Oryzias latipes: one gene and its partners. The protein of the gene in region 1 purifies or fractionates together with the protein of each later gene. This does not show direct contact. Links are inferred from orthologs where the notes say so. Each region holds a gene or a part of one and is shown in the gene's direction. Other genes may lie near its edges.

Evidence for each region.
Region 2: the proteins of cdk9 (region 1) and paf1 purify together in Homo sapiens (affinity purification with western blotting; 3 studies listed by BioGRID and IntAct, with this or other methods). This does not show direct contact. The link is inferred for Oryzias latipes from reciprocal best matches to the Homo sapiens genes CDK9 and PAF1.
Region 3: the proteins of cdk9 (region 1) and mepce purify together in Homo sapiens (affinity purification with mass spectrometry; 10 studies listed by BioGRID and IntAct, counting the BioPlex papers as one, with this or other methods). This does not show direct contact. The link is inferred for Oryzias latipes from reciprocal best matches to the Homo sapiens genes CDK9 and MEPCE.
Region 4: the proteins of cdk9 (region 1) and immt purify together in Homo sapiens (affinity purification with mass spectrometry; 3 studies listed by BioGRID, with this or other methods). This does not show direct contact. The link is inferred for Oryzias latipes from reciprocal best matches to the Homo sapiens genes CDK9 and IMMT.

What each region holds. Positions count from the first base shown.
Region 1 is NC_019870.2:30,293,173-30,300,328, reverse strand, and holds the end of cdk9 (cyclin-dependent kinase 9), read left to right. Parts: intron 1-43; coding exon 44-157; intron 158-407; coding exon 408-489; intron 490-839; coding exon 840-930; intron 931-1,533; coding exon 1,534-1,700; intron 1,701-2,564; coding exon 2,565-2,736; intron 2,737-4,074; coding exon 4,075-4,223; intron 4,224-4,291; coding exon 4,292-4,657; 3' UTR 4,658-4,863; downstream 4,864-7,156. UniProt on the Homo sapiens protein: Protein kinase involved in the regulation of transcription.
Region 2 is NC_019871.2:11,067,622-11,075,297, forward strand, and holds the end of paf1 (RNA polymerase II-associated factor 1 homolog), read left to right. Parts: intron 1-463; coding exon 464-496; intron 497-690; coding exon 691-783; intron 784-2,006; coding exon 2,007-2,128; intron 2,129-2,234; coding exon 2,235-2,301; intron 2,302-2,372; coding exon 2,373-2,474; intron 2,475-2,571; coding exon 2,572-2,677; intron 2,678-3,147; coding exon 3,148-3,216; intron 3,217-3,415; coding exon 3,416-3,519; intron 3,520-3,586; coding exon 3,587-3,703; intron 3,704-3,785; coding exon 3,786-3,914; intron 3,915-4,090; coding exon 4,091-4,196; intron 4,197-4,342; coding exon 4,343-4,421; intron 4,422-4,559; coding exon 4,560-4,990; 3' UTR 4,991-5,330; downstream 5,331-7,676. Other genes in the region: glia maturation factor gamma, read right to left, coding at 5,583-5,654, 6,057-6,130, 6,594-6,676, 7,053-7,102, 7,317-7,366, 7,471-7,567. UniProt on the Homo sapiens protein: Component of the PAF1 complex (PAF1C) which has multiple functions during transcription by RNA polymerase II and is implicated in regulation of development and maintenance of embryonic stem cell pluripotency.
Region 3 is NC_019872.2:14,590,823-14,599,652, reverse strand, and holds the start of mepce (7SK snRNA methylphosphate capping enzyme), read left to right. Parts: upstream 1-4,056; 5' UTR 4,057-4,531; intron 4,532-6,282; 5' UTR 6,283-6,329; coding exon 6,330-8,099; intron 8,100-8,830. UniProt on the Homo sapiens protein: S-adenosyl-L-methionine-dependent methyltransferase that adds a methylphosphate cap at the 5'-end of 7SK snRNA (7SK RNA), leading to stabilize it.
Region 4 is NC_019868.2:4,715,703-4,723,868, forward strand, and holds the end of immt (MICOS complex subunit MIC60), read left to right. Parts: intron 1-1,277; coding exon 1,278-1,409; intron 1,410-3,923; coding exon 3,924-4,053; intron 4,054-4,195; coding exon 4,196-4,803; 3' UTR 4,804-5,057; downstream 5,058-8,166. Other genes in the region: eukaryotic translation initiation factor 4E-1A, read left to right, coding at 6,413-6,499. UniProt on the Homo sapiens protein: Component of the MICOS complex, a large protein complex of the mitochondrial inner membrane that plays crucial roles in the maintenance of crista junctions, inner membrane architecture, and formation of contact sites to the outer membrane.

The sequences.
Region 1 (7,156 bases):
CACGGTGTAAAAGTTCTGAAATGGTGTGTTTTATCCTCTCAAGGCCCGACCGGGAGGCCGCCATAATGTCTAAATACTACGACGGAGTGGAATTCCCTTTCTGCGACGAGTTCTCCAAGTACGAAAAGATGGCGAAGATCGGACAAGGAACCTTCGGGTGAGCCTTCTGTGGGTCTGCAGTCATTCTGTTAGCTAATGTTTGTCATTCAGAGCTGCTTTCCGTCGGTGTTCTGCATCCGGTGACGAGGTGGATTGTGGGAAATTGTTTGTAGATTTGGTCCAAAAACATTATGTAGGCTGTAGTTCTGTGTTCTTCCGAACCGGAAGAAGAGAGTAAAGAGTGTTTTATGACAAACGTGTCATTTAGGAAAGCGTGATTGTGTTTTCTGAACGTTTGTTTTCTACAGGGAGGTTTTCAAAGCCAAACACAGAACGACGGGGAAGAAGGTCGCTCTGAAGAAAGTGCTGATGGAAAATGAGAAAGAAGGGGTGAGAGATCTGAGAGGGGCTGGTGTGAGGAAGGAGATGATGATGATGATGAGCGTGTGCTAAAGAAAAGTGACGTGAGACACCTGTTGGGATGACGTTACATAGTTGTTGGTTTTTACTTGTTTCACTTCACAGACGAGCTCTGTTTACTGATAAAAGATAGTGAATAAAGAGCAGTCTGTCCCTAAAACAGTGTTTATTGTATTTAAATAAGAGTTGTATCTAAACCAAATGACTGACTGGATGGAGAACAGAAACGTCTGTCTTCTAACATGGTTGGAGAACAATAAATCCTTCCTGAAGGTACCAGGAAGTTTACTTGTTGAAGCAGCTTCTGTTCTGTATTTCAGTTTCCAATCACAGCTCTGAGGGAGATTAAAATCCTGCAGCTGCTCAAACATGAGAACGTGGTCAATCTGATCGAGATCTGCAGAACCAAAGGTTTGTATGTTTTCAATGTCTGACAGAGCGGTCCGGGACACAGCAACTCACTCTTTAGAGCAACCTTTAACGTGACACACATCACTTCTTACTGTTTTCCAACAATCGGTACGTCATAAACTCTTCTCAGCGTTCCTTCTTAGTCGTTGTCTTGGCAACACTTTACATCGGTACGCCTCCACCCAACCAAAGTGTTTAACCTGACGTTGATACAGACGTTCAAAACTGAAATATAAAGTTTGAATCAGTGAACTATCCCAACAAGGAGTGAAAATGATTCTATTCTTCTTTCTCTCGTTGCTTTGCCCCGCCCTCGCAATTCCTGGCCAATGACTGAAGAGATCTTCTGCTGTGAGGTTTTGTCTGGTTTGGTTTGAATCAGAAAAGTTGGGTTGAAATTCAGCCTGAATACAGACCAAAGGCAAAGTTCAGGACTTGATCTGGACCAAATTTAGTGGACTGGGTCTGGACCGGACCTTTCCAGTCTGAACTCCCCCTGACCCTGCACTACCTCAGATGTGTAGGGGTTCATACTTTGGGTCATGGTGTGTGCCGTAATCCTGAGGTGTGTTGGTTGACGTTTCTTTGTTGTTCCTGCAACAGCTACTCAGTTCAACAGATATAAAGGCAGCATCTACCTGGTCTTTGACTTCTGTGAACACGACCTGGCCGGGCTGCTGAGCAACGCCAACGTGAAGTTCACGCTGGCGGAGATCAAGAAGGTCATGCAGATGCTCCTCAACGGGCTGTACTACATCCACAGAAACAAGGTGGGGTTCTTACTTTGGCCTCCAACTTCACTTGGACTGTAACTCTGAAATGTTCCGTTTGTTCTAAAGCAAAACGTTGTTAGTATTGAGGCTGAAAAGGTTATTTAAAAATCTTCACCCAACACATTACTAGCATTGCAAGGCCGTGGGTCAGGGTTCATACGGTCATGAAGAACCTGGAAAGGTTTTGGAAAATGTCATTTCTAGGTCCTTGAAAAGTTTGAAAGACCTTCTGGAAAAGTCAAAGAACTTTAACATTTTGAATGCAAAATAAAATGGTTTAACATTCAGTCGGTCATTGTTCTTCTGCCGTTTGTCCCTTTCGGGGTCCCGGGGCTGCTGGAGCCTATCCCGGCCACGTGTGGGCAAAGGCGGGGGGCGTCCTGGACAGGTCACCAGTCTGTGGCAGGGCCAGTTTAACATGACATCACAATTGAAATGGTGGCAGAAGTTCAGCCTCCCGCTGTGGGTGATGGGAGTTTTTGTTGCCTGTTTTTTGTCAATATTTCATACTTTTCTACGTTTTTCTCTGATTCTAGTGGATAAAGTCAATAGAAGAACAGATCATGTCTGTGGCACGGATACTCTGATGCTTTTCCACTTTGAGTCTCAGATCAGCTGCTGGTTTTCATGAACAGATGAGGTCAGAGTCCACCATCTATGGAGTTCCTGGCTTTTGTAGTAGAAACATTTGTCGACCTGTTGTTGGTGGGACGACACACAGCAGCGTAAACACAGGAACGGCTCCCCAGCTGTTGTAGTTTGTCGTGTTTTAGTGTAACAGCTTCATTATTACAGTCAGGCTGGCCTAGATGAACCCTACCTGATGAACAGACCTGATCGGCATGTCCTCCATGTTCTCAGATCCTTCACAGAGACATGAAGGCCGCCAACGTCCTCATCACCAGAGACGGAGTCCTCAAGCTGGCAGACTTTGGCTTGGCCCGGGCCTTTAGCCTGGCTAAGAACAGCCAGGGGAACCGCTACACCAACCGCGTGGTCACGCTGTGGTACAGACCTCCAGAGCTGCTGTTAGGTAAACGCCGCAAACCGCTGAGGAACGCTGGAAACGTGGAATTTAAACATTAGAATGTCGTCTTTCAGGGCTTTGTGCAAAAACGGAACATTCCTGCTGTTGTCTTGGTGATTTCACATTTATGTTGTTGGAAAGTAAATCTGCAGCAGATCAGCAAAAAAAGAAAGATGGGACCAAACGACAAGAAAAAAGCCTTCATAGTATATATTTAAGTACTTGTACACACATCACATCCAAGCATTTGTTCATCGAGGTCTATTTATTAAACATTACCGACCTTTGAACTCACGATATTCCCATTGTAAAAAACCACCCAGATCCAGGAAGTCTTCTGGTTCATCTGGGAAACGACAAAAGAATATTTAAAAACGGAGCAACGATGTCCGGCTTTACCACCTTCCCTGCTGCTACCAGCCCGTCGCACTGGGACAGACAGCAGCGTCTTTGTCCCGCCACGGCGCCAGGACAACAAGCCTTCAAACTGGGTCACGGCGGTACCGCTGAACGCCACTGTACACGCGTGTGCCGGACCATGGCAGGGATCCGTGTGGATCGGGGATCAGAAATAAAAGCCGTGTTTGGACACGGCTCAGTGTTTCAGGATGTCTGGTAGAAATCCAGCGTTGCAGTCTAGAAAACAGATCCGGGTCAACGACACCAAGAGGTCCGGTTATTCATCCGGTTATCCGTGACACATGTTGGAGCCTAAAGCTTCCTGTGCGTTTATGGACCGGTAACCATCTTGTGCTGTATCACTGTGAAGCAGTACTATGGAGAGTGTTTAGTAGTAATATTATGCGTGGTGACGACGCGACTCCAGTCGTTCATTTGTGAAATGATTTTTTTTAAAAAGTGACGTGACTGGATTCAGGGTTTGGGGCCAGAATGGAGGATTGACTGAGCTGGGAGTGAAGAAACAAGAGAACCAAAAGGTTTTAACGGACACTTTCTGCTTCAGTACTTCAGACGTAGATCGGTTTCTACATTTGAACTTGTTACAAGAAGAACCAGACCTAATAGAAATGTCGTCTTCCAGACATGAGGAGTGTCTGTCACTGATCATGTAAATATATGTGCACAGCTGTAAAATTAAAAAATGCGGACTGTAAATACTTTTCACAGCTCTGGTTTGGGGCTCCTATGCGACCCAGATGCTGCATGGCCCCTTTTTGCGGCCCCGACTCCTGCAGAAACGGTTCCGGAAAACGACGCGGGTTTCAGGTTACATGGCTGAAAACGTCGTGGTCGTCAGGGAAACGGGTCTTTAGAGGCTGACGAGTCGAGAAGCAGACGGCTTCAACAGGAAACCAATCGCGTTCCTGTTCTCCTTCCCTGCAGGGGAGCGCGACTACGGCCCCCCCATCGATCTGTGGGGGGCGGGCTGCATCATGGCGGAGATGTGGACCAGAAGTCCCATCATGCAAGGCAACACGGAGCAGCACCAGCTCACCCTGATCAGCCAGCTGTGTGGCTCCATCACTGCAGAGGCGAGTGGTCTTTGGGGGCGGGGCTCTGCGTTGCAGCAGCTCGCTGTCAATCATTTCTGTTTCTCCAGGTGTGGCCCGGCGTGGACAAAAAGTATGAACTGTACCAGAAAATGGAGCTTCCCAAAGGCCAGAAGAGGAAGGTCAAGGACCGCCTCAAAGCCTACGTGAAGGACGCCTACGCCCTGGATCTCATCGACAAGCTGCTGGTTCTGGACCCGGCTCAGCGCATAGACAGCGACGACGCCCTGAACCACGACTTCTTCTGGTCCGACCCCATGCCCTCAGACCTCAAGAACATGCTGTCCACTCACAACACGTCCATGTTTGAGTACCTGGCCCCGCCCAGACGGAGGGGGCACATCCCCCAACAGCAGCCCAACCAGAACCGAAACCCGGCCACGACCAGTCAGACGGAGTTCGACCGAGTCTTTTAGCCCCACTGGACGTCTTGGACCGAGTTTGACCGGAGACTCTGCTGTGAGGCCAGTTATGATCAAACGTTCAGGTTTTATGGGATCAGGAATGAAACGGACAGAAATGCTCCTTTATCCAGAATCTGGTAGCTTTTTCAGTTGAACTGATTGTTTTCATTCAAATGTTCTTTGTAATAAAGCAACACAATCGTGAACATTTATGGAAACGTCTGAATGCAAAGCAGGAAAGTGGTTTTTACTTGTGTGAGTCGGTTAGAGAGGAAGTGACGATGAGAGCCGCAGACACTAAACCCTCTGAGCTTTTGACTTAAACGCCGTCATTGTTCCTTTGGGATGTTTAGGAGGGGGAGGAGCTACCTGGATTCATGGTTTGTGGCATGTTCTACAATTGAGCCAGAAGGAAAACTAACGTGTTTGTTTACATGTGGAAGCACGTAAACATGGAAACCCCTGAAGGTAATTGGGTCCAACGACCCGGAAAACGGTTGACTGAGCCAGACCGCAGTACAGGACCGTTGTAGGTCTGTGTATTCCCGGCTGGATTCTGATGAGACCGTTTAGCGTGACGGCATCAGAACGCGACGTCTTTATTCCATCATGGATGGACGTGTGCACGGAAGAGCAAAGCCACAAACCTGAGAGGACGGACAGAGCAGAGGCTGTTCAGTCTAAGGGCTGCTCAGCAGACCCACCGGCTGCAGGAAAAGGCTTCCTGAGTGAGGTCGGTCAGAGATCTGCTGCGGCGGCGTTGGATTCAGAGACCGGAAGAAGACGAGGGTCGACACTGGAACATCTGTTCCCAGGACGAAGGACAGAACAGGAGGTGACCACAAAACCAGAGGCGTGGCCCTGTAACAAGGACCGAATGATTCGATGATGTGGTAAAGTGATGAGCGATAAGGAGTTTGTTCCAAAACAAAGCTGTCATTTGGAATGAAAACCTTTAGTTCTGAAGGAGGATGCAGCATCAGCAGCTCACCTCTGGCATCACAGCTGAACGCCTTCAAGATGTGCAACTGAAGCTGGCAGCAGGAGAAAGCCTCAGTAACTGCTGATTGACTTTAGCACAAATATGGGCGTGGGGGTTGTTTTTACACCCCCTCCAATAATACTGGTAATGCAGATCTAGTGTGTGTCTGTCTGGGTGCAGAAGTCCTGTGAGATAAATCTTCCATCATGAATGTATGAATAGACTTCCATCCTGTAAACAGTTGTGTGCAGACTATTGGTTGATGTGTGAACTAAGTCATGCAATTTACTGAGGATATTATGTTATGACTCTGTATTATCAGCCCCCCACCCCCCACCCCTTACCCCCCCTCTAACACCCCACTCTCTCTCTCCTTTTCCGTCTAGTCCAACAAGGAATACATACAAATATGAATATTATAAATAAAGCTTAGCCTCAAATCCTAAAGGGGTTTATATAAATATACTCTGTCTGTCTGAGGATCCATGAACCCCCACTGTAACAGTCAAATCTGTCCAACAAAGAGGCCTTCAGCTGTTGGACAGGATAAGTTTCAAACAGTTTCTTTTATTGTTCATTTGTTTTAAATGAATGATTTACTGAAAGCCTTTTTGGGTCACTGGTGTTTCTTCTGCTCCAGCTTGTGTCTGTATGTTTGTATGAATGCTGCTGCTGGAGTCCTGACCAGAACCAGGAAGTATGATCACATTAGTCCTGTGCTCAGGTCTTTGCACTGGCTCCCTGTACCTCAAAGAATAGACTTCAAAGCAGCTCTGCTTGTGTACAAGTCTCTCCATGGCCGAGCACCAAAGTACATCTCTGACATGTTAGTGCCATATGAACCATCTCGTACTCTGAGGACCTCAGGGGCCGGCCTCCTGTTGATTCCCAGAGTCAGAACTAAAAAGGGGAATCAGCGTTTCAATATTCTGCAGCTAAAATCTGGAACAGCCTCCCTGAAGTCGTAAGACAGGCGTCTTCTGTGTTCATGTTCAAATCTAGACTTAAAACATTTCTGTTTAGCCGTTTATATGACTGAAAGGTCCTATCTGCACTTTTCTTTCCTTTCCTTCCTTTCTTTTTAAATCAATTTTCAATTTTTTTTTTTTTTTTAAAGTACATTTTACGTTGATTATTTCTATGATGTATTGTGATTTTAATGCATTTTTCTGTTTTGTGAAGCACCTTGAATTACTTTGTGTACAAATTGTGCTATACAAATAAACTTGCCTTGCCTATGTTTATGTCTTTAGGTTAGTTTGCATGTATCTGCTTTAAGTGGCATTCATGTTATTTGAAAAGTTGTGGTTTGTAGTAAATATTCTCCTTTATAGTTGCCGTCCAGATTTGGTTTTTGTGCAGTGCATACATGTGCACGTTCCTCCACACATGTATGCTGCGTGTTCATAACCATCAAACCACCACAGGCCGGTTCTGCTCCGATGATGGATTACCGTTTTGGTTCCAAAGCTCCTCCACTGTCACGTCTGGGAAGGGGGTGCATGTGTGGCGACAGGATGACAACAACT
Region 2 (7,676 bases), on another chromosome or scaffold:
ATATCAAAACAACCTAAAGTGACGCTGCTTTCGTGTTTGTGCACTTTTTCTTTATTCGTTCTAACATCAGCCACACAATGGTAAAGTTTGTATGGTTCTAAGTATCTATTATACAACTCAGTTTTCAGTTTGATTGTACATTAGCGTTAGCTAAATACCATGTCATGTGTAGCAAATATTAGCTCAAAACCACTCTGGTCTACCCTTATCAATACTACAAGTATTGCTTAAGGTTTTTTGTTTGTTTGTTTGTTTTTTGGTCTTACATGATTGTAATAGTGGACAAGACATACAAACCAATTTATTTGCTAAGACTGAATTTTACTAGAAGAGAAAATATGGTGAAATGCAACAGTTACATGTAAAACATGGCGCTGTTTTTACTTGACTTAGTAATCAGAAAAGACTAAAAATTTGGGGAGCAGGTGAGATTTTGACTAACTAAGCTGTTTTTCTTTTGCAGCAGGCCATCCTCTCACAGAACTGTACCAGAGAGGTGAGTAGAGTCTGCTTTTTTCATTTTCTTTATATATATATATATATATATATATATATATATATATATATATATATATATATATATATATATATATATATATCATTACAGTTTAGTTTGTAGGATTTGTTTACAACTTCTAGCTTAATAGTTTTCTCTCTGACCTGTTTTCTTTTTTACATTCTTCATTATAGGTCAGGAATAGTTTGTCGAGTCAAGTATTGCAACACCTTGCCTGACATCCCCTTTGATCCGAAATTCATCACTTATCCATTTGATCAGCACAGGTAACTATTTGTGTTTTTATTAGTCCTCAACAGGGGCTACGATATTACAATGTATGTGAAAAAAAATGATTTTCTCCTAATTTGAGGACATCTCTACCTTAATCCACGTGCTTATTTATCTACAAATTGATTAGCGTTTGGTTTGTTGTGTTTTGCACACTGGGACGACTATGGAAAAGTGCAGTTGGGTATCACTTTAGTATATTTGGTTTAACCCCCCAAAAACAATGGGGACATCAGTGTAACTTAAGAACATAAGAAATCTTCTGTTGTCCAAGTGGTATATCAGGAAAAATGGGTCTGGGTCTTATGGGTTAAGCCATAGAGCTTGCAATTTAGTAGCATTTAATGTAATTTATTTATTTGTCAAATTTCCATTCTGAAACCAATTATGGTTATAAAAAACTGGTTTCAAATAGTTAGTGATTTAAACTGCACATAAAATTTGTAAATTAAAAAGAAAAAAGAAAAAATACAACAGTGGCTATAAAGAATTGGTACACGGATTTGATGTATTTATATTGCCAGTCCCAGGAAATGTTGGTTTGTGTTCGGGATGCGACAATTCACTTTCTCCACGATTCGGTTCAAACTTCAATTTTTAGGTCAATATTTTGTTGCAACAACAAAAAATTACAAATGCAGAGAAATCATTCTTTTTATTTGCTAATAAGCAAGTAACAATGAAGAAAAAACTTTCAGTTGGGGTGGTGTAATGTAATAAAATTATAAATCCTTCTTAAATTTAGCATGTGTTTGAGGCTTTCTACGTAAACACGTAGCGGTTAACCTTCCCTACAATTCTGTTCACTGGTGCAACATGTGGTCTGGTGTGAAACCAGGAGTTGAGGCATCCCTTGTGGATGCATATAAACATTTCATTGTGTGGTTTTAATGTCTATATCTGTTCATTTTCTTGGTTTTTGTTGTTCCTGTGTTGTGCCTTGAAGCTAAAATGACAATATTGATATACTTTGTTTATATCAAGTTTTTGTTGAGTTGTTTTTATAGTTGCAAATATAGAGGTGGACCAAAAATGGGCAGAAATCACAGGAGTTGCACAATCTCTTACCCAGTTAGGAAAATAAAAACATTTAAACAAAGATTTGTCATCAAGGTCAACAATTACAAGACTCTTCTAGGAGGGCTAGAGATTATAAAGTTGAAAATCAACCAAGTGTAACTGTATACAGATTGATAATGGGTTTTTTTGTGTGTGACAGATTTGTTCAGTATAAAGCCACCTCTCTAGAGAAGCAGCACAAACATGAGCTCTTGACTGAACCTGACCTTGGAGTAACTATTGACCTCATCAACCCAGACACTTACCGCATAGACCCAACCAGTAAGTCTCCATCTGTCGACTTGTGTCGCATTCGTTTAGTGGACATATTTGGCATATCCAATGTCTGTGCACGCTGAGCCCATGCTTTATTGTTTTAAATGTTCAGTACTGTTGGACCCTGCTGATGAAAAACTGTTGGAAGAAGATATTCAGGCTCCTTCCAGCTCAAAGAGGTATGATTATCAAACATTTGGCTTAGTTGGACATATGATCATATAAATCTACTTTTCTTTTTTTAAATAAGGTCACAACAGCACGCCAAAGTGGTGCCATGGATGAGAAAGACAGAGTACATCTCCACAGAGTTTAACAGATATGGTGTTTCTAACGAGAAGGTGGAAGTTAAGTAAGTTATCATAGATTCATAGAAGGATATAGCGGGACATCCTGCAGTTTTTCTTTGTTGCTGTTGACTGAAGTCAGTTGTGTTTTGTTGTGTGTAGAATTGGTGTGTCTGTCAAACAGCAGTTCACAGAAGAAGAGATCTACAAGGACAGAGACAGCCAGATTTCCGCTATCGAGAAAACATTCGAGGATGCACAGAAATCGGTATGCAGACTTCTTACCAACACGTGCATGGCCTCCAAACCTGAAATTGAAAAATATCAAGAAATGCAAATGAATACACACCAGTATGGTCTTGTTTAGCTTATTAAAATTGATTGTGTAGCTTAAGTTTTAGAGACTTGGATCAAATCTTTTTTTCAGTTACAGTACATGCAGAAATTCAGTTCTGATGTGTAACAGCATTGTAGAAATTGCAAGGGAATGCTAGAAAATTTGGTAAAGGTCACGCTGGTGTGTGTATATATGTGTGTGTGTGTGTGTGTGTGTGTATATATATATATATATATATATATATATATATATATATATATATATATATATATATATATATATATATATATATATATATATATATATATATATATATATATATATATATATATATATATATAAATATCTTGGTAAATCTAAAGATGTTTTTTTTTTTTTTTTTTTTTTCCTTTCTGCCACAGATCGCACAGCACTACAGTAAACCGAGAGTTACTCCTGTGGAGATATTGCCAGTTTTCCCTGACTTTAAAGTGAGTTTTACCACAAGATGAAATGCAACAGTTAATATTTTGGTAATCTCTTTTGAACATTTAAAATCACTTGCTGCAAAAGGAGAAACTAGAACAACTAATTAAATAAGATATGTGTATATATAGGGAAAAAAATAAGAAATGGTCTGTCCATGTTTATGTTCTTTTAATGATTTGTATGCATTGTGGCTTTCCTCAGATGTGGATCAACCCATGCGCTCAGGTCATCTTCGATTCTGATCCAGCTCCTAAAGACATATCTGCACCAGCAGGAGTGGAGATGATGTCCCAGGCGATGATTAGGTACATTCAGAGTTTTTATCCTGATGGTCTCTTTATGAAACATAAACAAACAATTGTTTTATGATAGAGGAATGATGGACGAGGAGGGGAATCAGTTTGTAGCCTACTTCCTGCCCCACGAGGAAACACTTCGCAAGCGTAAGAGAGACTCCGAGGAGGGAGTGGAATACATGGCGGATGATGTGTAAGTGGAAGAACGGCATTGTTAAAAAACATCTAGATGTTGTTCCAAAACAAGATCAATCTTGAGACTTTTTTCGTTTCAGTTACGACTACAAGATCGCGCGAGAATACAACTGGAATGTCAAAAACAAAGCCAGCAAAGGTTATGAGGAGAACTACTTCTTCATCTTCAGAGATGGAGATGGTGTTTATTACAACGAGCTGGAGACCAGGCGAGTAGAAAAATCTCAACAAATTCCTTTCCATATATTTTTAGTTAAATGTAAAACTTGTATCACTTGGCTGATGTAGAGAAAAAGTAGGGCAGGATCTTTGTTTTCCCAACAGGTTAGAGGTTCGATAAACAGTTCAGTACTTGTTTTTTCTTAACTTTAACTTTGACCTTTAGGGTGCGGTTGAGTAAGAGAAGAGCCAAGGCTGGAGCACAGTCCACAACAAATGCTGTGCTTGTTTGTAAGCACAGAGATATGAATGAGAAAGAGCTTGAAGCTCAGGTAAGGTCCTTGCTCCGTTTGTTTGTTTGTTTGTTTGTTTGTTTACACACACACATCTTTCAGAACAGCAGTTTATTGACAAAGGATCAGGATTTTTATGTTGCATGACACAAATCTCTTATGAATGATGTCGTCTTCATCATCAGGAGGCACGTAAAGCTCAGCTTGAGAACCATGAACCTGAAGATGAAGAGGAAGACCTGGACAAAGACATGCAGGACTCTGGTAAAGTTTCTTTTTTTTTTAATCATGCAAAGGATTCTGTAGTATTTTTTGTAACAACTGCTTTATTTTGAACTGTAGGAATTACTTCAGTTGCAATGTCAGTCATTTTTTTCATTGTTTTGTGTTTTTTTCTTTTAGGTGATGAAAAAGAGAAAGGAAGTGGCAGTGAGGCAGAGAACTCCGGCAGTGAATCTGAGAGGGAAGACGAAGAGCGGGAACAGAGCGCAGAGGAGGACGAGGACAACGAAGCCAGACGGAAAAGGCGGAGGAAGTCCAGTGGCAGTGCCAGCGAAAGCGGCGAAGAGAGGACCAGGGAGATGCGAGACGAGGAGGAGATCTTCGGCAGCGACGACGACAGCGATGACAACGAGCCCAAGAATTCGGCCAGAAGCAGCGGGGACGAAGGCAGCGATAGCGAGGAGGAAGGGCAGAACCGAAGGGGCACCAGGAGTCGCAGTGCCTCTCCAGCGCCCAGCAACCACAGCAGTGACCACTCCGAGGCGCAGGCTCAGAGTGGTAGCGGAAGCGAAAGAGCCTCCGACTCCAGTGATGCCAGTGACAGTGATTAAAACCTGCAGGCTGAAGAGCAAACCCTTTGTTCTCTGTGTGTTTGGGCTGATGGAGCTTATATGCATGTGTCCTTCCTCTGTCACCGAGCACAGTCGCAGAATTTGGCGCTGGAGCTCCATTAGTGTAGCTCCTCGCATCTTTACATAAGATTTTTTCTTGAATCCACTTTTTTATCCCTGAGATTTCACTTGGGTTACATTCATTCATTATCTGTTTGTACGCAAATCCTTTGTTGCTTGACCTTCAATGCAGCATAAATTTGTTCAATTTGATTTTGACAAACTGATTTCAACTCAGGCATTGAAACTGATAATAAATTACTGGTGACATTTTCCAAAAGTCTTGATTATTTTTTCTTTTTTTTGGAAAATACAACACAATCGAGCAGAACAGCTCATGACATCAATGACATTTGGTTTTAGTTCATTTGGTTTTAGATTTACAAGAACTTGACGACAAAAAAAGAAGAAAATATGAAGTTAAACACTTTAAAGGTGATGGAAAACAAAGTGGTTTAATCACTGATTTTAATTATGCAACAAATAAAAGTGGTAGTTGCGGTTGACAATGATGCTGCCAGACGATGCAGATTCAGCGAAAAAACGCCAGCTGGTTCTTCAGCCACTCTTCTGTCAAGTCATCGACATTTCTGGTTTCAAAGACCTTCCAGAGCAAAACAGTCACAAGTTAGGTTCATGCAACTGCACGTCAAACCAAGTGAAAATAGGAATTACATGTTATAGTTCTTGCAATTATACTTGATATTGCAAGAGTCAATTTGTTTAGCACATGAATGTTTCTTGGACTAAAAGAATAAAAGCTGAAATCTGAAAAAAAAAGACTTTGTAACAATAAGAGAATTAATAAGAATTTTTGGCTCTTTTAAGCTTAAAAAATTAAAAAATGAAAGTAATCGTAAAAAGTTTTACTTCATAAAAAATGTGATTTTTAGCAAGAAGCTGAAAAGGTTTTTATTTAATAGTCAATTTAAGTTGTCAGTTTGAATCCCACCATAATATGAGAGAGCTCTCTTAACATGCAGCCGCATTGGAAATCATTGTTTACCTTTGTGAGGTCTGCAGATTGCACGAGTCGATTCTTGCTGCCTGCATACATCATCTGCTGCTCTGGCTTACAACCTGGTGACAGCATGGACAATTTCTGCTGATTAGTCATTGATGAATAATTTCATATAAAACAAGAGGCAAACACAGCCGTAAATGTGTTACGTGGTGTTTATTAGGCAGATATAACTTTGCAGATAAGAAAAATCCTAAAAAGTCTTGCAGTTCAGTCGGGGGGGGGGGGGGGGGGGGACAATGGTATAAGCATCAGTGCAAACAGAAACTGTTGCAGAATTTTGGAAAATTCAAGAATCTGGAAAACTGCTAAATATATTTTGCAAGAACTAAACATACTTAGACAATTTTTACATTCAGAGTTTTTAAACTGTTTTTTTTATTTATATATATTTTTTGATTCTGTCAAAATGTGGGCTTGGAAACTAGAGCTAGAAATTATTTGATTGTAAATGTATTCTTTGCCAACAGAAGCTGTGATTTTGATATTAAACCTCCTGTTTTGTTAAAAGAGATTGCTTACCCATTGGACTGGAAAATATGAAACAGAGGGGATAAGACACCCTTCCATCAGCATGGACATATTTGTAGCTGTAGACAATAAATGTTCACGGTGGTCAAGGAAATACAACTTTTATTACAAGTCTTACAATTTAATATTTGAATACTAGACTAATATTTGTTTAGTGTACTAGAACAAAGATTAACAGCCTGACAGAATAAGAGTTTAAGGTTAAATAAATACGTTCTTACTCTTTATAGTCAATATAGATATATTGTAAATGAAAAGTATTCCTTTAGTATACTTCTTACACTACATGTACTATGATTTAATTGCTATACGTATACTCAAGTACACTTACTGAAATAAACTTCAAGTGAACTACTTTTTTTCTACAGGTAGTTTGAAAAAGACCCTACGTTCCAGGACCCTGTGAAAAACATCTACAGTAAACGAATTGACGTCTGCCAGTAAGGATATCTGGGTTGGCGCTCTGGAAGCTCATTTCTCAACTCCTCCATGGAAATGTCCTGGAAGACAGATCTGAGCGTCAGGTGTTTTCATATACATGTGTACCTTCACACACTCACACAGTAACCCTGGCCAAAGCTCTCACATATCACTGCATTTTGCTCATATCCCTAAAGTGATCTTTACAGTAGTGATCTGTAAGCTCAGTATGCATGATTGGACAAAAAATGATAATGTTGTAATACTGTAGTAAACATAAATAACAAATCTCACCTCGTACTCCTCTTCCAGGATAACAAGTTGTTTTTTCATGTCTATTTTCACTGTAAAAAGGACAATCATTTCAATATTACACTTTTGATGGTGTTTGGGTTTAAGCTGAGTTGTTAACTGACAGTAAAAACATGCAAGTATTTCTCACACTTACTCAGTATAGCAGCATTGTTGGTTTCTTTTCGAAATCTAAACTTCTTCAGTTTTTCTTTCAGACTTTCATCCACTTCACAAACAACCAAGGAGCTCGACTGGAAATGTCAAATATGCACGAGAAAAAGGTCAAACTGTGTGACGGTAAATTAAACATTATTTATTTCTTTTAACTTTTTATGCTAAGATCAAAACATCCTCCAGAAA
Region 3 (8,830 bases), on another chromosome or scaffold:
GTATAACTTTGAGCATTATTGTTACAACACTTTTATATGGGTCCAAATCCTTTTGCTCCTTACTCTTGACAATAGAAAAACTTGATTTAAGACTTGAAAATAATTGCACTGTCATTTTTGGTACTGTTTTGAGAATGTTTTAAATTTTATAATGTTTTATGAGGTTTTATTAATTTAGGCCAACTTGTACCAGTTTTTTCACATTTTCTTCTAAAATGACTAGTTTCTACTCATTGCACTATAATACTATCACTATAATCAGAATGAACTACATTTAGGTGCATAAAACGCAAAATAATACAAATCATTTTCTTAAAACTGGTTAAAAAAACGTATTATTGGGCTGTATAACATTCAGTTTTAAGTAATTCTATCGGACAGGATTTTCCTCTTTTGAAAGCTTGTGTAAAACATCTTGCTTTTAGATTTTGATATCTTATCAGATTTCTTCTTAAGTATAAATTGCTAGATTTGCTACCTTTTGGAGATGTTTTTCTCTTAAGATTGGTGTTCTTTTCCTATTTTTTGGGCTACCTCTAGTGTATAAGCCGTCACGCACTCTTCGCGTCCGATCCATCTAACAATTAACCAGACCTGGGCGTGGGGGCACCGATCAGCTCCCAAAGGGCAACGCAAAATGCTGTCCATGACAACACAGGCCTGATCGAGCCCCTCCCCCTGACAGCTGGCTCATTGTGTGGCGTGGCTCTGAAGCGGCCTTGTTCCCCCTTTGCTTGGACAGTTCAATAACTAATCTCGGTGCAGCCAAGAGAATGCAGCTTTTTAAACGAGGGGGGCAGCTCTGATGGAAAGTCATAATCTGTGTGTCAGTGTGGTGCACGTTAACTGGTGGACCACCTCGTCAGTTCAAATGAGGTAGAAAACTAGTTTTGCAGTGGTTGCAGGGGTGATATCACAAATCTGACATACTTCCTTTCATTTTTTTTCCACAATTGTGTTACCATTAACAGTTTACTCCTATTTTAACAGCTAAAGACTTCAAGAAGATTACTAAATGTGTTTTCTTTGTTAGGAATGAAGTAGTTACTTTAATATCTAACTGCACTTGCAGAATACTTAGTTTGACAGTTTCAATGTTTTTGTCGCCTTCATTCTCCTTTGCAGCATTTTTTTAGGTGTTTATTCAAATGTATGTTTATAATATCAATATTAGAAAAGCATCCCACACTGTTCACATTTGTCTACCTAAACTCATAGGAATCATTCGTAAGTTCAAATCAGGCAGGTCATTTAAAAGGCAATCACTCCCGCTTTTGATCCCACGTGAAAGATGACACAATCACCACTTTGCTGACCAGCAGCCAACGGTCACTCACAGTGGCACAGAGTGTGAACTCACAGAGTAGACATGGGGGTTGTTCTGATGTGACCGCACACGGGACACGCGAGCCGGCCCCTCCCTCTGTCACACGCAGGATAATGACCAGCCGGCTCGTGCTCTTCACAGAGGGCCTCAAGAACCATATGTGTTCACCACTTTCTGCTTGGACACACACAAACAATTGAATATGTCCAGAGCGCTTGAGGCGCAGACCCTGAGGAAGGGCAGATGGTGTCCGGGATTGAAGACCGCACCCACATTACCATGAGAAAAGAGGGTGACAGAAAAGGAGGGGGACAGGTACCCTCTCGTTTTAGTTTTCTTCCATAGAGACTACAAAGGAGGGGTGACTCATTAAACCGGAGAGTCTGTTGCACTGATTTGAAAAGCAATTAGGAGCATGCTCCACACTCAGACTACCAGAGATAATAAAACACCCGTTGAAACATTTTTTTCCCTTTTTCCAAATGTTACTTTGTTATTTATTTTTATTATATTGTCTTCCAAAAAGTTTTATATTAGCATAATGTTAAGGGTTAGGGGAAAAATATATCAAACTTTCTGCATTATTAATATTACATGTATAAGTCACTGATAGTCGTTATTATTGTATTATTGTTTTAAGAATTGATGCAATGATTTGAATTTCTGTTTTTGTGGAGTTTTGTGGGGTTTTGTGATAGCCATCAGAACCAGGCCTACAGTACAGAGAGATAACACTGATGTTACAGCTGCATTCAAGCATTTATTGAATATTACTGGAGGATTTTACTCTGGATAAGAATTTACTTATGAACTTGAAATGTTCGATTGACCACATGCACATAAGCAGTTTTCCCTCTGGAGGGCATGCAAACATTGTGCTGGTGCCTGTCACAATTACAGTAACTCAACATATACATCCAAAGTTAAGTGATATTTTATTTTACAAATCAAAATCGAGTCTGTTTACTTACAACGATGAAAGGGAAAACTAATATAGCCTTAAAAAACGCGTAAAAATTAAATTCTGAAAGAACATCCAGTGTTAAACGCAGGATAAAACTGTTTAGAAAAATGGTAAAAAAAAAAGATTTGATCGCCCCCTTGTGGCCATTCAGAAAACAGATGTAAAAGGTCACTGAAGCAACATCAAGGTGTCCATGATGGCAGTCATATCTCACACTAACACCCAAATAGACTTAAATACCAGAAATACTTCATAATTGTGTTGGAAATATGAAGTATGTAGAAGAAAACAACCCTAAAGCTTATGTGTACAACTGTAGTTGTACACTTTCATTTGACCTACAACAATAAAAATACATAACATGTAGAGTACAAAAAAACATGCTACTGCAAGAAAGAATAGTTTATTGTAGTCATTGATTTTTTTTCTTTCATTTACCTGTTACTGTACCTTCCATATATTTTGCCAATTTGTTTTTAAAAAAATAACTATTTTGATTTTACCCTCAACGTAATAAAGGCTGTAAGACAGAAAATCACATGGCTTGATCTATAAACAGTTGAGAGTGATGATTTTCAATCAAAATACAGGGAGAGCTTTGTGTAGCAAATGCAAAAAAAAGGGTTTGGAAGAAAAAAAAACAAGTTATTCAAAGCAAATATTTAATGTTTTCATTTGCTACTTAGAAAGTTGTGCTTGTGTTAGCATGAATATCACTTCATGCGTGGTAAAATGAAAAATTAATTGTGGTCATTTAATTTAGAAATAGCTGTTACATCAGCTAAATGTCAAATTTGAGACACTTTTTAAAAATGTGTTAAAATGTCTTTTGGCTTCAAACTAAGCATTTCAGGCTGCTAACTGTAATGAATTTGCTTGAAAGTGTTGAAATTTGCTGCCGTAAAAGAAAGCTGTTATAAATCAAGAAATAGCCCTTTACAAAAAGAAAACAAATGTAATATAAAATGATGAGAAAGTTCATAACTCCTAAATTCACTTTATTTTCCCAAGTTAGATAGTTACAAATATTACAGGAAACTATTGTACTTTCACAGCTTTGTATCAGACAGCATCTCACAACTGTTTGGCCAATTTCTTATAAGCAGCGATCATGCATTAATGTAAAAGGTTACATCAATCTGAAATTCTGCTAAGAATCTTCCTTTCAAGAAAATCCAAAGTAAAGTTGTGAGCAGGTTACTGAGGAGGCCACTTGTGGATCTGTTCCATGACTTAGAATTAAGCAAAGGTTATTCATTTGACTGCTGCTGCAAAAGATTAAACAAATCTAAACACACACTGTTGAGGTGTTTGACAGTCAGTATTATTTTATACTCTCGTTCAATTACAGATCTGAAATTAAATCTATTACTATTAGAAATTTTGCTTTTTCCAAACTTTTAAGCACTTTATCACATTATTTCACTTAAAGGACGGACAGACAGACAGACAGAAGATAATTAATGGTATTGCTATAATTTTTTTCTCTTGACAATAAGATTTATTTTATGCTTTAAAAAGTGCTACTAATATACTGAAGATGAGAGATTACTGTTAAAATGATGGATGAAGGATGAGGTGGTGGGAGGGTGGTCAGGGCCGCAGAATTGCTCAATGTGGACCTACTTTGTGTTGTTGGGCATCTGTGCCTTTATAGTCCCGTTTTTAGACCAAAACAATGGCCAAGTTTGTTCATTAAAATGTGTTTGCTGACTGTCATTAAAAGTTCCACTCGCTCGCGGCCTCTTCTGGGATTAGGGGTCTGAATCTAATGGCAAAGAGTTCCCACTACCTTGCGCGAGCTCACAGATCTCCGCCCCGGTCACGTTAAGCTTACAACTCGAAGCCCGGATGCGCCGCCATGCCGACTCTCGTCAGCGAATGCTGTCATTTATTCACCAAACTGTCCGCCTGGAGTTGACCGAACAAGTCGACAAGGCAGTGGGGGAAACAAGAGAGACCTAGTGGGGTACAGGCCGTGCTTTGCGTGTAAACCGTGAGCGCCGTTGGGCTCGGAGACACTGGGGTGCTAGCTAGGCTAACGTTAGCTTGAGTGGAAGCAGAGCGGGGTGGAGACGGCCCGGCCGGAGGCGGGGAGAGCACCACCGCGGGGTGACACTGGGATCCTGACGGTGACCACACTGTTCGGCGGCCATCTGGGACATAGTATCACTTTCCCGTACCGGACTTGGGATTTGTTTGTTTATTTTTGTTCTGGATTCACCCGTCAGCGCATGAAGGTGGGTACTTGGTCGTTTATTTATCACCACTGTTGCTCCAGAGCTAAACGTTTAGGCGACGTTTTCAGAGCTCTGGCCCACGATGGAGGAGCTAAGGGCTAGCATGCTAACCCAAACTACTGTTCCAGACTCTGACTCAGAAACTTCTCAGGTCAGCAACCTCCGAGTGGACACGCTTCAGATGTCAGCCTGTCAGGAGGGCAATGCTAACGAAAAATCTGCCGCGGACCGTAGGACCTTTAAAATTAATATAATAAAATGCAACACTCAGCTAAAAACAAAGTAATTTATTTACTATTAAGAAAATTATATGTTTTATATATTCAATATGCCCGGATTCTCCTTTATGATTTTATTTGCTGTTCGTTTTGTCCATCTTATTACTTTCCTGACTTAATTATGGAGGCCAGAATCTGCACACTGACTCCCCAGATGACTTTTAATGCATGCAACCATAAAGAACAGATTGAAGTTTCCTTAAAACAATGTCGATGAATCTCAAATCAATTCTTTTTTTTTTTATCAATCATAGATAATGCAGTTTGCATGATTTTAAAATAAGGCTAAAACCGAAAACACTGAAAATCCAAATATTTTGTTTGGATTTTTTTGCAAATGACATCATCATGACAATATCCTACAGTTTTATAAAACCACTTTCTGAGAACTTCAAACTTTAGTTTTGGTAACATCCAAATCTATTTTTTTAATGTAAAGCTGATAATGAATTATGAAGTTGCAGAAATGTTTATCCAGGAAGTTGTAGATATACAAATATAGGATTGTCATCTTTTTTTTTTTTTTTTTTAAAAGTTAACTCTTCAATTGAAAACAACAACAAAAGCATTAACCTTTCTTTTAGGCTCTAAACAGTAGGAATAGTGGAAGAACAAACATGTTTCTTCTACACAGGCACAAAAACAATAGCAACAACAATAGCAACGTCACATCTTAAAGGTGTATTTTTGGTTTTGGAGAATATGATGACCTTCTGTCCCTTCTCTGTTAGTTTAAGTTTGAATGTAGTTTTGTTAGGAAGTGCATGAGGAATATTTGTGCCTTCTAATCAGGTGGCACAAATGCTATAAACCTTATGTATCTCTGATAAGGTAGAGCAGCAGAGACGGGTGGAACCTCCCTCTATATGCTACCATGAACCAAGCAGGAACAGTGTGGTTAAAAAAGAAAGATGTTTTGTCTGTACTAGCATTTTTGACCAAAGCATGTTGCAGATGACATCCCAAATTATGATTTTACTTATTTAAAGTCTATTTTAAAAAGTGTTCTCAGTGGTCTTTTAATTAAAATTTTGTCGTTTTTAGTCCAAAAAAAAACAACCTATATCATTATCTAGGATGAATAAATTTGTTGCTTGTCGTTGTAGGTTTCACATCACAGCTTCAAGCTTTTTCCAATGGCATTTTTCATCTGCCCCTGATTTGGAACAACTGGAATAAAGGAACACTCAGAAACAAAATTTTTAGCTATATTGTCTTTATACTTGTCCTCCATTGTTAGAAAAACGCCACAAAAACTTTCATCAGATTAGGTATTTAAAGTTTTTGTTGGCAAAAACATCAATTATCATTGTCTTTTTTTTTTGCATTCTTTGTAATGCAATTAAACAAAAATCTACCTATCGGTTGTTTTGGCACTTTTTTGGAACTTAATTTAATGTTTACGGTGTTTTATTCAAGGGATTATAAGAGATCAGATGGTCCTTTAACAGCTGTATTCTTCCTTGTTTTCAGACAAAGGACAAACAAGTTTCAATGAACAGTTCTGGAAACTAACAGAGATGTCTGTCGAGGAGGACGCCATAAAAACTGGCAGTTTAGAGGCCAGGTCAACGCCATCTCTGCAGCTCTCAGACTGTACTGGAGGTTACAGCAGTGTGTCCGTGATGATGGAGGAAAATGCAGCCACGCATGACTTTGCAGCTGCCTGTCCTGTCCCGGGCACTGCAGCCTCACCAAAGCACACGAGCACAGACAGCGCGGGACAAAAAGCCAGAGGGAGCGAGAACAGCATCAATCGCAGGAACAGCTTCCCTCACTCCAAACAACAGCAACAGCAAACGAAATTAACCAAGCGGCGCTACACAGCCAGTTCTAACTTCAAACATCCCACATCGAGCAAGAGGAGACGAAGAGCCATCTCCGAGAGTGACTCTGTCCTGCCCACCAACTTTCTCTTGGGTGGCAACATTTTTGACCCGCTTAATCTGAACAGCCTCCTGGATGAGGAGGTCAACAGGGCACTTAACGCAGAGACACCAAAATCCTCTCCACTTCCTGCAAAGAGTCGAGATCCAGTGGAGATCCTCATTCCGAGAGATATAACTGATCCTCTGAACCTGAACAGCGGGATAGCAGACAACTGCTTTTTGGTGTCCCCCTACAAGAGCGGAGGAAGAAGAAGGCATCGCAACAGACATCATGGTGGGGGTGGTGGAGGAGGCGGAGTTGGTAGTGGGATTCCAATAACGCAGGCGAACCACTCCGAATCGACAAAAAGTGAGGTCAAAATGAGCTCCTCCACACAACTTTTAGGTACGCAAGGCTCTTGTTCGGTTCTCGATTCTTCTAAAGAGTCCATGAGTTTCTCTAGTGTCACGGCAGATTCCCACGAGAGCACAGCTGAGAACGCAGCAAGCGGCAAAGATGAGACGCTGTTTGTACCTGTCGAAGAATATACCTGCCCCCTGTCGGGGGGGCCAAGCCACCACGCCGGAAGACGCAGACGAAGGCGCAACTCAGGCAAAATTGATCCTCCTGTCACCCATTCTACTCCCAGCGGTAAATTAGCACCAAATGACAAAAGTTGTGGTACAGGCGGAGCACAAAATTATTTTCACACACCAAAAATTGGTCCCAAAACTGGAGGGGGGTCACGTTCGTACCAGCAACCTCACAGTCAGGCAAAAGGACACCAAAAGAAGTTCCAGTATGGAAACTACAATAAATATTATGGTTATCGCAACCCGGGCAACAGTGAAGACCCGCGTGTTCGTGTATTGCGTCCGGAGTGGTTTGAAGGTAAAGATGTGCTGGACTTGGGGTGCAATTCAGGTCACTTAACACTCTACATTGCCAAAATGCTGCGGCCTGCACGCATATTGGGGCTCGATATAGATGGTGGGTTGATCCATGCAGCTCGTAAAAACATTAGGCATTATCTGTCTGAGCTGCAAACCCAGGAGGCCAGACAAGCTGCTAAACAGGAAGAAAGAAATGACAAGGATGTCAGCACGGGGACAGACGAGAAGCACAGGGACACCGAGCGCAGAGAGGAGCACTGCAAAGCAGAGAGAGGACAAAGAGGCACTGCGGAGGCTGAGAGTGACAATGGCTTCTGTCACACAGATGATGTAGGGACTCCAAGGCAAGATGACAAAACAGGAGAGACAGGACAAGGAGACTGTGAAAAGCAAAGCGCTGATCAGTCAGTGAGCTGCTCCTTTCCCGTGTCTCTACGGATCTCCAGAGGACCCATCGCTGCACCTCCTTTGACCGAAACACCCACCCCTCAGCCCGGGCAATTTCCTGCCAATGTCTCCTTTATCAAGGTACGTTGATGTTGGGCAATTCCATTTTAATCTTCGTAGTTTTCACGTGTTTCTAATGTCTTAGCTATGTCAAAAAATCACAGAAATGTATTATTCTGCTTCCAGACTTCAAAAGAGAATTTGCACATTCTTCTTGTCTACATGTCAGTGTATATAATGAGGATCTTTGTTTGTATGAATGTCCTCCATTGTCTTCATAGCTGTTGGAATCTTGGCTTTTTTTTTTTTTGTTCGTGTTAATCAACTAACAGGAGCATGCTAAGTCAATTAGCAAGTCAGCACATATGTGGCTAATCTAATCTAGTTGTTATGGAAACATTAGTAGTAAAAAATAACGACTCATCTATTTGTACGGACAGTATTTTAGTTTCCTTAGAAGACAGCAGAAGTCAATACTTAATGAATATTTAACAGCATAAAATGCTGCTTCCACCAAAGTGCTGAGACCAGAGACTGGAGAGTCGGGCCTTCTTGTTCTCACCTGAGATCATTGTGAGGCTGCAGAGTGCCACAGTCTCTGCCATCTTGGATGCAGTGTTTAAGCTGCTGCTCACATCAGTCTTTTAACTCCTTTTACTACAAGTCAGATGCTCATGCAAGTACTTGAACTGCTGTTTTGTGGTAATCCGAGAGAGCATTTTGCTCCACCGTTTAAAGAAAAAGAGCATGCAGAAATAACACAGACACTGCAGTAAAGGCATGCACCATTATAACTAGACAACTCAGTCCCT
Region 4 (8,166 bases), on another chromosome or scaffold:
CCGCCACGCCACACACACACGAGCGCCTACATCCAGACCCGTGCTGCAGTTAGGTTTAGAAGATCCTTTCATCAGTTTGGTCATTTTAAAAAAAACAAGAGGTGCCTCCTGCTTTTTGAGATCAAAGACTTCAAGGGCGAGCATGAAGAAGAAGATCTGGCTGCAGAAAACCTCCTTAGTTCTTGTTGTCACACCCAAACCACTGTGGTGGAAGAAAAGTGCTGTTAGAAAACAATTAAGATCCATCATGAACTAACATCAGGACAACATGGATCCGGTTTATAAGATCAACAAAGGTCATCCATCAGAAGCAAATAGAAAAAGTATCAGTAAATACTCCTTTATCAGCGTTTTGAATGATAGAAAATGTGTTTCTGCAGCTTGTAATCTTCTCTTTGGGATGAGTGATGGATGAGGAGCTGCAGCTCCTGTTTTTAGGACTTCTGTTCTTCACATGTGAACAAAACCCAGCAGACAGTCTAGAAGAGACAGATGGGAGAATCTCAGCTCTGAAAAGCAGCACCAGAGCGGCGCTTCACAACCTGTAGCCTGTGAGCCACACCCCTGAGTTTACTGCTGAGGCGCGTCACAGTTCTGCTTTGAGAAATGATTTTTCAGACTTTTTATGCATCTGGGATTCAGTCCCAGATTTGACAACGTTCTGCCTTTTTCCACCAGACCCCGGAGTGAAACAGGAGCTTCTGCTGAAGAGCAGAAGGCTTTATGGAAAGACATGTCTGATGGTCATCTGACCACCACTGCAGACATCAAATAAGAATGTGGTATTAAAAAAAACCATACAGAATCAAGAATCCAGAACTCAGTAGCCATAAACCAAAAAAACAAATCCCTCCTTTTTTTCAGAATAAAGCAATATTTCTCTCTGCTCTTTTTAATTAACTGGCTGTGTTCATAGAGGTGAGCAGCGTGAGAGCGCTCTCTCATTATTCCATGTTTGCACAAAGGTATGGATTTGTACTCATAATGAGCAGTTTCTTTGTACATAACGTCTTAAGTTGAATTCAGATTGACGTAAAAAAATGGGGAGATTGGAAGTTGTCAATTTTACGTCCTTAAATCTATAGACGGTCTGTGTGAACATGCCTCAGAACAAACTAAGAGTTCAGGATAAAAGGAAGACGGTGAAGTGCAGTCGTCTTCTCGGAGTGCAACAGCACCACCAGGTGGACCCAGCGGGGACTGCAGCCCCTGCTGTGTTGGCAGGGTGCCGACCAGATGAACTGTGATGCCGATGAGGCGTATTTGTCTGTGTGCAGATGAACGAAGTGAGGGAGGTGATGGAGGCGGAGATGAGGACTCAGCTGCGGCGTCAAGCGGCGGCTCACACGGACCACGTCCGAGATGTGCTGAAGGTCCAGGAGCAGGAGCTGCGAGCTGAAGCTGAGCAGGTGTTCGCACTGAATCACACTGGACAGGGACATCAGCCCTACGGGGCGCGTTGGACTAGCCCTTGTGCTATCTGTCCCACAAGACGGATAGCACAAGGGCTAAGAGCTCAGAGACTGGCCAGTCCATGAAGACATTAGCAGCTCTTCATCATCATCAATCAACAAAATAAAGTAAACCATAAACGTATAAGAAGTAGAAGAAGCAGATCTTAAGATTTGTGGAGAATATTGTCTTTGATTTTTTTTTTTTTTTTTTTTGTCCACACCATCCCTCCCTGATTGTACGGTTTGAGTAGGGATGAATACTGGTTATCTGGTACTGACCAATACTTTCCAAACCGCTCTGGTGCTTTAACTGTCCCCAGAGCTTGAAAAATTAACAAAAAAACCCCAAATATGCCAGTATTTTCCAGAAACATGTGATTAAGCAGCGTGACGGAGGTGAATTTGCCTAAGAGGCTTTATCTGATTCTTTCTGGCAGTCTGCGTTGCATCTCTGTTTTCACACGCGCAGAAGTTAACGCGTCGTTCACGTCACTCTTACCCATCAGGCTGCTAATTCCAGTCTTTTGCTGTGAAGTTCAGCCAAACTTTCACTCGCTTAAACCTTCAATATTTGACTGAAGCTCCGCCCACCCTTACGACCACACCCATTCTTATGTAAGTCTGCCCACAATCACTGGAACGGTAACATGATTGGCTAGAATGGCACAGCAAAACGGAGTAGATTGACACGTCCAAAACAAAGCACTGAAGTGAACCACGAAAACCTGTGTTTGTTTTATGGTACTGGTAGTGCTACATACAGTCAGGACCATAAATATTTGGATAGAACTTAGTTTCTGTACATTACCACAGTGACTTAAATAAAACAACTCAGATGCCATTACAGTGCAGACTTTCAGCTTTTGGGTTGAACAAAAAGATTGCATACAAATGTGAAAAACTTAAGCATTTTTTAAACACAATCCCTTCATTTCATGGGCTCCTAAGTAATTGGACAAATGAAAGAGCTGAAAACAAAATGGTCATTACTAATATTTGGTTGAAAACCCTTTGTTGGCAATGTCAGCCTGAAGTCTTGAACTCATGGACATCACCAGATGCTGGGTTTTCTCCTTCTGAATGGTCTGCCAGACCTTTACTGCAGCGGCTTTCAGTTGCTGTTTGTTTGTGGGCCTTTCTGTCTGAAGTTCAGTCTTCAACAAGTGAAATGCTGCTCAATTGGTTTGAGATCAGGTGACTGACTTAGTCATTCCACTTCTTTTCTTTAATAAACGTGTAAGTTGCTTTGGCTGTATGTTTTGGGTCGTTGTCCATCTGTATTATGAAACGCCGCCCAATCAGTTTGGCTGCATTCACCTGGATCTGCGCAGACAGTCTGTCTCTGAACACCTCAGAATTCATTGGGCTGCTTCTGTCCTGTGTCACGTCATCAATAAACACTAGTGTTCCAGTGCCACTAGCAGCCATGCACGCCCAGACCATCACACTGCCTCCACCGTGTTTTACTGATGATGTAGTGTGCTTTGGATCAGGAGCTTCTCCACGCCTTCTCCATACTTTTCTCTTGCCATCATTCTGGTAGAGGTTGATTTTGGTTTCATCTGTCCAAAGAATGTTTTTCCAGAACTGTGCTGGCTTATTTTAGATGCTTTTTAGCAAAGTCCAATCTAGCCTTCTTATTCTTGAGGCTTATGAGTGGCTTGCATCTTGCAGTGTAGCCTCTGTATCTACTTTCAAGCAGTCTTCTTTTTACGGTAGACTTGGATATTGATACGCCCACCTCCTGGAGAGTGTTGTTCACTTGGTTGGCTGTTGTGAACGGGTTCCTCTTCACCATGAATAGGAATCTGCGGTCATCCACCACTGTTGTCTTCTGTGGACGTCCAGGTCTTTTTGTGTTGCTGAGTTCACCAGTGTTTGCTTTCTTTCTTTCTCAGGATGTACCACACTGTTGATGTTGCCCCTTCTGATACTGTAGAAATTTCTGGCATGGTTTTTTTCTGTTTTCTCACCTTAATGATGGCTTCTTTCACCTGCATGGAGAGCTCCTTTGACTGCATGTAATCTGTTCACAGCAAAATCTTCAAAATGCAGCACGAGTCCTCTAATCAACTCCAGGCCTTTTATCTGCTTCACTCATAATGACATAACAAGGGAATTGCCCACGCCTGCATATGCAATAGCATGGAAGTCAATTGTCCAATTACTTACGGGCCCATGAAATGAAGGGATTGTGTTTAAAAAAAAATGCTTTAGTTTTTCAAATTGTATGCAATCTTTTTGTTCAACCCATGGAATAAAAGCTGAAAGTCTGCGCTTCAATGGCATCTGAGTTGTTTTATTTAAAATTCACTGTGGTAATGTACAGAAACGAAGTTAGAAAGAATGTGTCTCTGTCCAAATATTTATGGTCCTGACTGTATGTCTGTACCAGCATCAACGTATGTATGTGGCACTGAGTTTCAGTACCTGTCCCTAATGTGGGGCTGCTGTGGGTTCTGGTTTCAGATTCTGAGCAGTAAACTCCTGGAGCAGGACACTCTGCACCGTCAGCTGACCCAGGAACAGCTGGACAGCTTCACTCTGGACATGAATGCTGCATATGCTCGCCTGAAGGGGGTGGAGGAGGCCATCGACAGTAAGTGACACAACACACACAGCAGCTCGTTGCACCAGTCCAATCTCCGGACGTGAACAGAACAGCTTGAATGGTTTGCTGGAACTGCAGCGGGCGTCTCACAGACGGTTGCTCTGACTGGTGGCTGTGCGTTGACCTGCAGGTCACCTGGTGGCGGAGGACGAGGCCCGCAGAGCTCATCAGCTGTGGCTTTCTGTGGAAGCCCTCAACCACACCTTGAAGACCGCCGGCACTGAGGAGCCCAGCGTGCCTCTGGACAGCGCAGCCCAAATGGTGCGCGACAGCTGCAGGCAAGATGACTTCGCCTCAGCCCTGGCAGAGGCTCTTCCTGCAGAGTCGCTGTCACGCGGTGTGTACGGCGAGGCTTCCCTCAGAGCCCGCTTCAACTCCCTACGGTCGCTGGTGCTTAGGGTGGCACTCATCGACGAATCCCACAACTCTCTGTACCAGTACTTCCTGTCCTACCTTCAGGCGGCACTTCTCTTTGAGGACCAGCAGGCGGCCCCTCCCACACAGCTGAGCAGCGAGGACTTGGACACGTTCAAGCTTTTGTCATATGCGAGCTACTGCCTGGAGCACGGAGACCTGGAGCTCGCGGCTAAGTTGGTGAACCAGTTGAAGGGTGAATCCAGGAGGGTGGTGGAGGACTGGCTGACGGAAGCCAGACTCACGCTGGAGACCAGGCAGGTGGTCAGCCTGCTGTCGGCTTATGCCAATGCCGTAGGCCTTGGCACCACCCAGGCTCCGTGACCCTCTGTTGAAGAGGGGCCTGGAGGCCTTCCAAAGAGCCCCAGTTTTCTTGAAGGATGTCGGTGAAGAACAGCAGCTGTCCAAAGCTTGGACCAGGGGGTTGGGGGAATTGAAATGGTCAGATTGCAAAAGAATAATCGTCTCATTTCAGTAATATTTTCTGTCACAAAACAAGTTTCCTCGTGTTAATCTGTAATCACACTGTGTTCCTGTGAATAATACACAAACTCAATAAATTGTGAACCGGAAAGCTGGCACTGTCTCTTTGACTCTTTGGGGCTGGGAAGACTGAATCTGGAATAGGTAAGCAGACTGGTGTGAAGGAATCAACAGTGGGGGCAATTATCATAAAATAATTGAATGAGAACTGGAAGACTTTCAAACTGCTGATGATCATCCTCGATCTTAGGGGTCATGTCATGGGGTCTAAATGATCACGAGCGGTGAGCAAAAATCCCAGAACCACACTGGGGACCTAGTGAGTGACCTGCAGAGAGCTGGGACCAAAGTGACAAAGGCTACCATCAGTAACACACTACACCGCCAGGGACTGGACTCCTGCAGTGCCAGACGTGTCCTGCTAAAGCCAGTACATATCCAAGTCTGTCTAAAGTTTGCTAGAGATTATTTAGATGATCCACAAGAGAATTGGGAAAATGTCCTGTGGTCAGTTGAAACCAAAATAGAACTTTTTGGTAAGAACTCTACTCCTCATGTTTGGAGAAGAAAGAATGCTAAAGTGACATCCAAACAACACCATACCTACTGTAAAGCATGGGGGTGGAAACATCATGCTTTGGGGCGGTTTTTCAGCAAAGGGACCACGATGACTGATCCAGAGTAAGTAAAGGATGAAGGGGGGCATGTAAGGACAGACAAATGACAAATTGTTTTTTCTTGTGATCCACAAAATGGACCCAACTGCTGGTCAATAGCCAGAACTAATCTGCCCACATTTTTTCAAGTATGTATGTAATGTTCATTCATTCATCTTCTTCCGTTTTCCCCCTTTTGGGGTCACGGGCTGCTGGAGCCTATCCGGCCACTCGTGGGCAAAGGCAGGGGACATTCTGGAAAGGACACCAGTCTGTCGCAGGACGACAACCCCACACCCATGCACACACACCTATGGACAATTTAGAGTAACCAATGAACCTATGAAGCATGTTTTTGAACATGTTTTGTGTACAATGTTGTATTTTAAATTATACCTCTTATGTGTTATATATATCAGTATTTTGTTCAAATAAACAAGATTTTATCAAATTTAAATCCATACATTTCGGTAAAAAAAAATCTACCCATGGGTAGGGTTGTATGTAAAAAGGAAGAGATACTTAATGATACCGAGACTGAACCAAATATCCGCCTCAACCAAAGCGATATTCTAATTTATGGATTAGTTTTTTTCCCCCCTTTAAATAGGAAGTTGCAATTGTTTGGTTACTTCAACTACTGTTGCATATTCTTTAGGTGAAACTGGGAAAAAATTTTTTTAAAGGAATTCTTCATATGTCAATAAATATCAATGATGATTGAAAAAGCTGTCTCATCAAAATGGCGCAAAGAAAATCTGCTCGTTTTCTGCTTTGTCATCAATCACCTGCGCATGCGTATTGAAGTGCCGCAATTAGCTATTTTAACAGACGCAAAATCTCTGCGAGAGGAATTCCAGAAGATGGCGACCGCCGTAGTGGTAAGTATTGATTACTGATAGCTGAATTGTTTGATTAAAAAAACAAAACAAATTCAACCGAAACTTTATTTTTTTGGTGTTCGACACGCGGACGATACTAGAAAATATGCGACACTAGTAAGTATTGCCTGACTTACTTACGAGGAAATTCGACCGTTTCACTTCGGTAGTACTAAAGTTAGACTACTTTATTTCTTTTTAGAAATGACGCAGTTAAAACTTCGCTTAAATTCAGCGAGTTAAGAAGATGGTCAGACAGACAGCCGCTGTTAACCGTCTTCTTAACTCGCTGTAGCACGTTTTGCCTGCCTACCGAAAGCGTCACACCGCTCCCTCCGCGGGAGCGCGCAAACCTCAAACGAGAATCCCCAAGTAAAGGATTTCTACGGTGAACTATCTCTTGTTTCATCATACGTGAAGGGATGTGCAGAAAGGTGAACAACCGTTCACACCGGAAAAGTATGAGGTCGATAGTTTTCAGTCACGTGGTGCAGCGAACAGTTTTCCAAGATCACGTCTGCTTAGTTATACCAGGCTTTGAGCATGAAACATCAAAAAACTTGTCATTATTTTGGAGAAGTTTAGCTTTATCAAATTCTTACAAAGAGAGAAAAAAGATTTTGTTATAATGTGATTTAAAAAAAATATCAAAATCAAGAAACTTGAACTCTATTAGTATTTGAATATTTGGACCTTCATAAGGTAGATCCTTCATATCTCTAGACATGTCTATCTGTTCATGTTGTTTTCATGGCAGGTCATAAATCTTTTTTTTCCATTGATGGTCCTTTCCCGTCTCTGTTTCTAATATTATTAGTTTGTCATTTATTATTATTATATTCCTTATTAACCACTCCTCATTTGCATCTGGTATTGTCCTCTCACTCCTCAAAACTGCTGCTGTCAAATCCATCCTAAAGAAATCCTGGTTCAGATCCTAATTCCTTTAATAATCTCTGTCCTATTTCTAACGTCCCCTTCATCTCCAAAATAGTCGCCTCCCAACTTCACCATCATCCTAATCAAAATGATCTCTTTGAACCCTTTCAATCCGGTTTTCGCCCCCTTCGTAGCACTGAAACTGCCCTTATAAAAGTCCAGAATGACCTTCTCCTGGCAGCTGATTTTGTACTCATCACCATCACCTACTTCAGTGTTTTTCAACCAGACCATCGTGCCGTGGGAGATGGTCAGGTGTGCCGGGAGAAATTGCCCTCATTAACTGATCTAAAAACATTTCCCATCTCCAGGAAATCAGCTCTGTGTTCATCCAAACAGGCCCTGATAAAACACTGAGTAGTTAGGAATATGAAAGATCATAAAAGACTTTTCTTTGTGATTATTTGATTCTATTAAAGACATTTTGATAAGAATGATGGTACTGCGATTTAGCCGCAGCGTCAGCTGATTTCTGAAAAAGTCCCGCCCCTTTAACTGTCTCCACCAATCATTCTTGGAGGCTTAATCAAATGTCCTCAGTCTGACCAATCAAAAGTGGTTAAAGTCTTCACTTCCTTGTTCTGATTCTGTTGATAAAGTCTCCCAGTTCCAATAAAAATAGCAACTAAAGCTCGTCTTTAGCGGTGTAGCTTTCCACAGAATCCGGTGTCAGACCGTGGAACAAGTGAACAAAATAATGAAGCTCAGAGACGCCAGTCCGTTTGCGT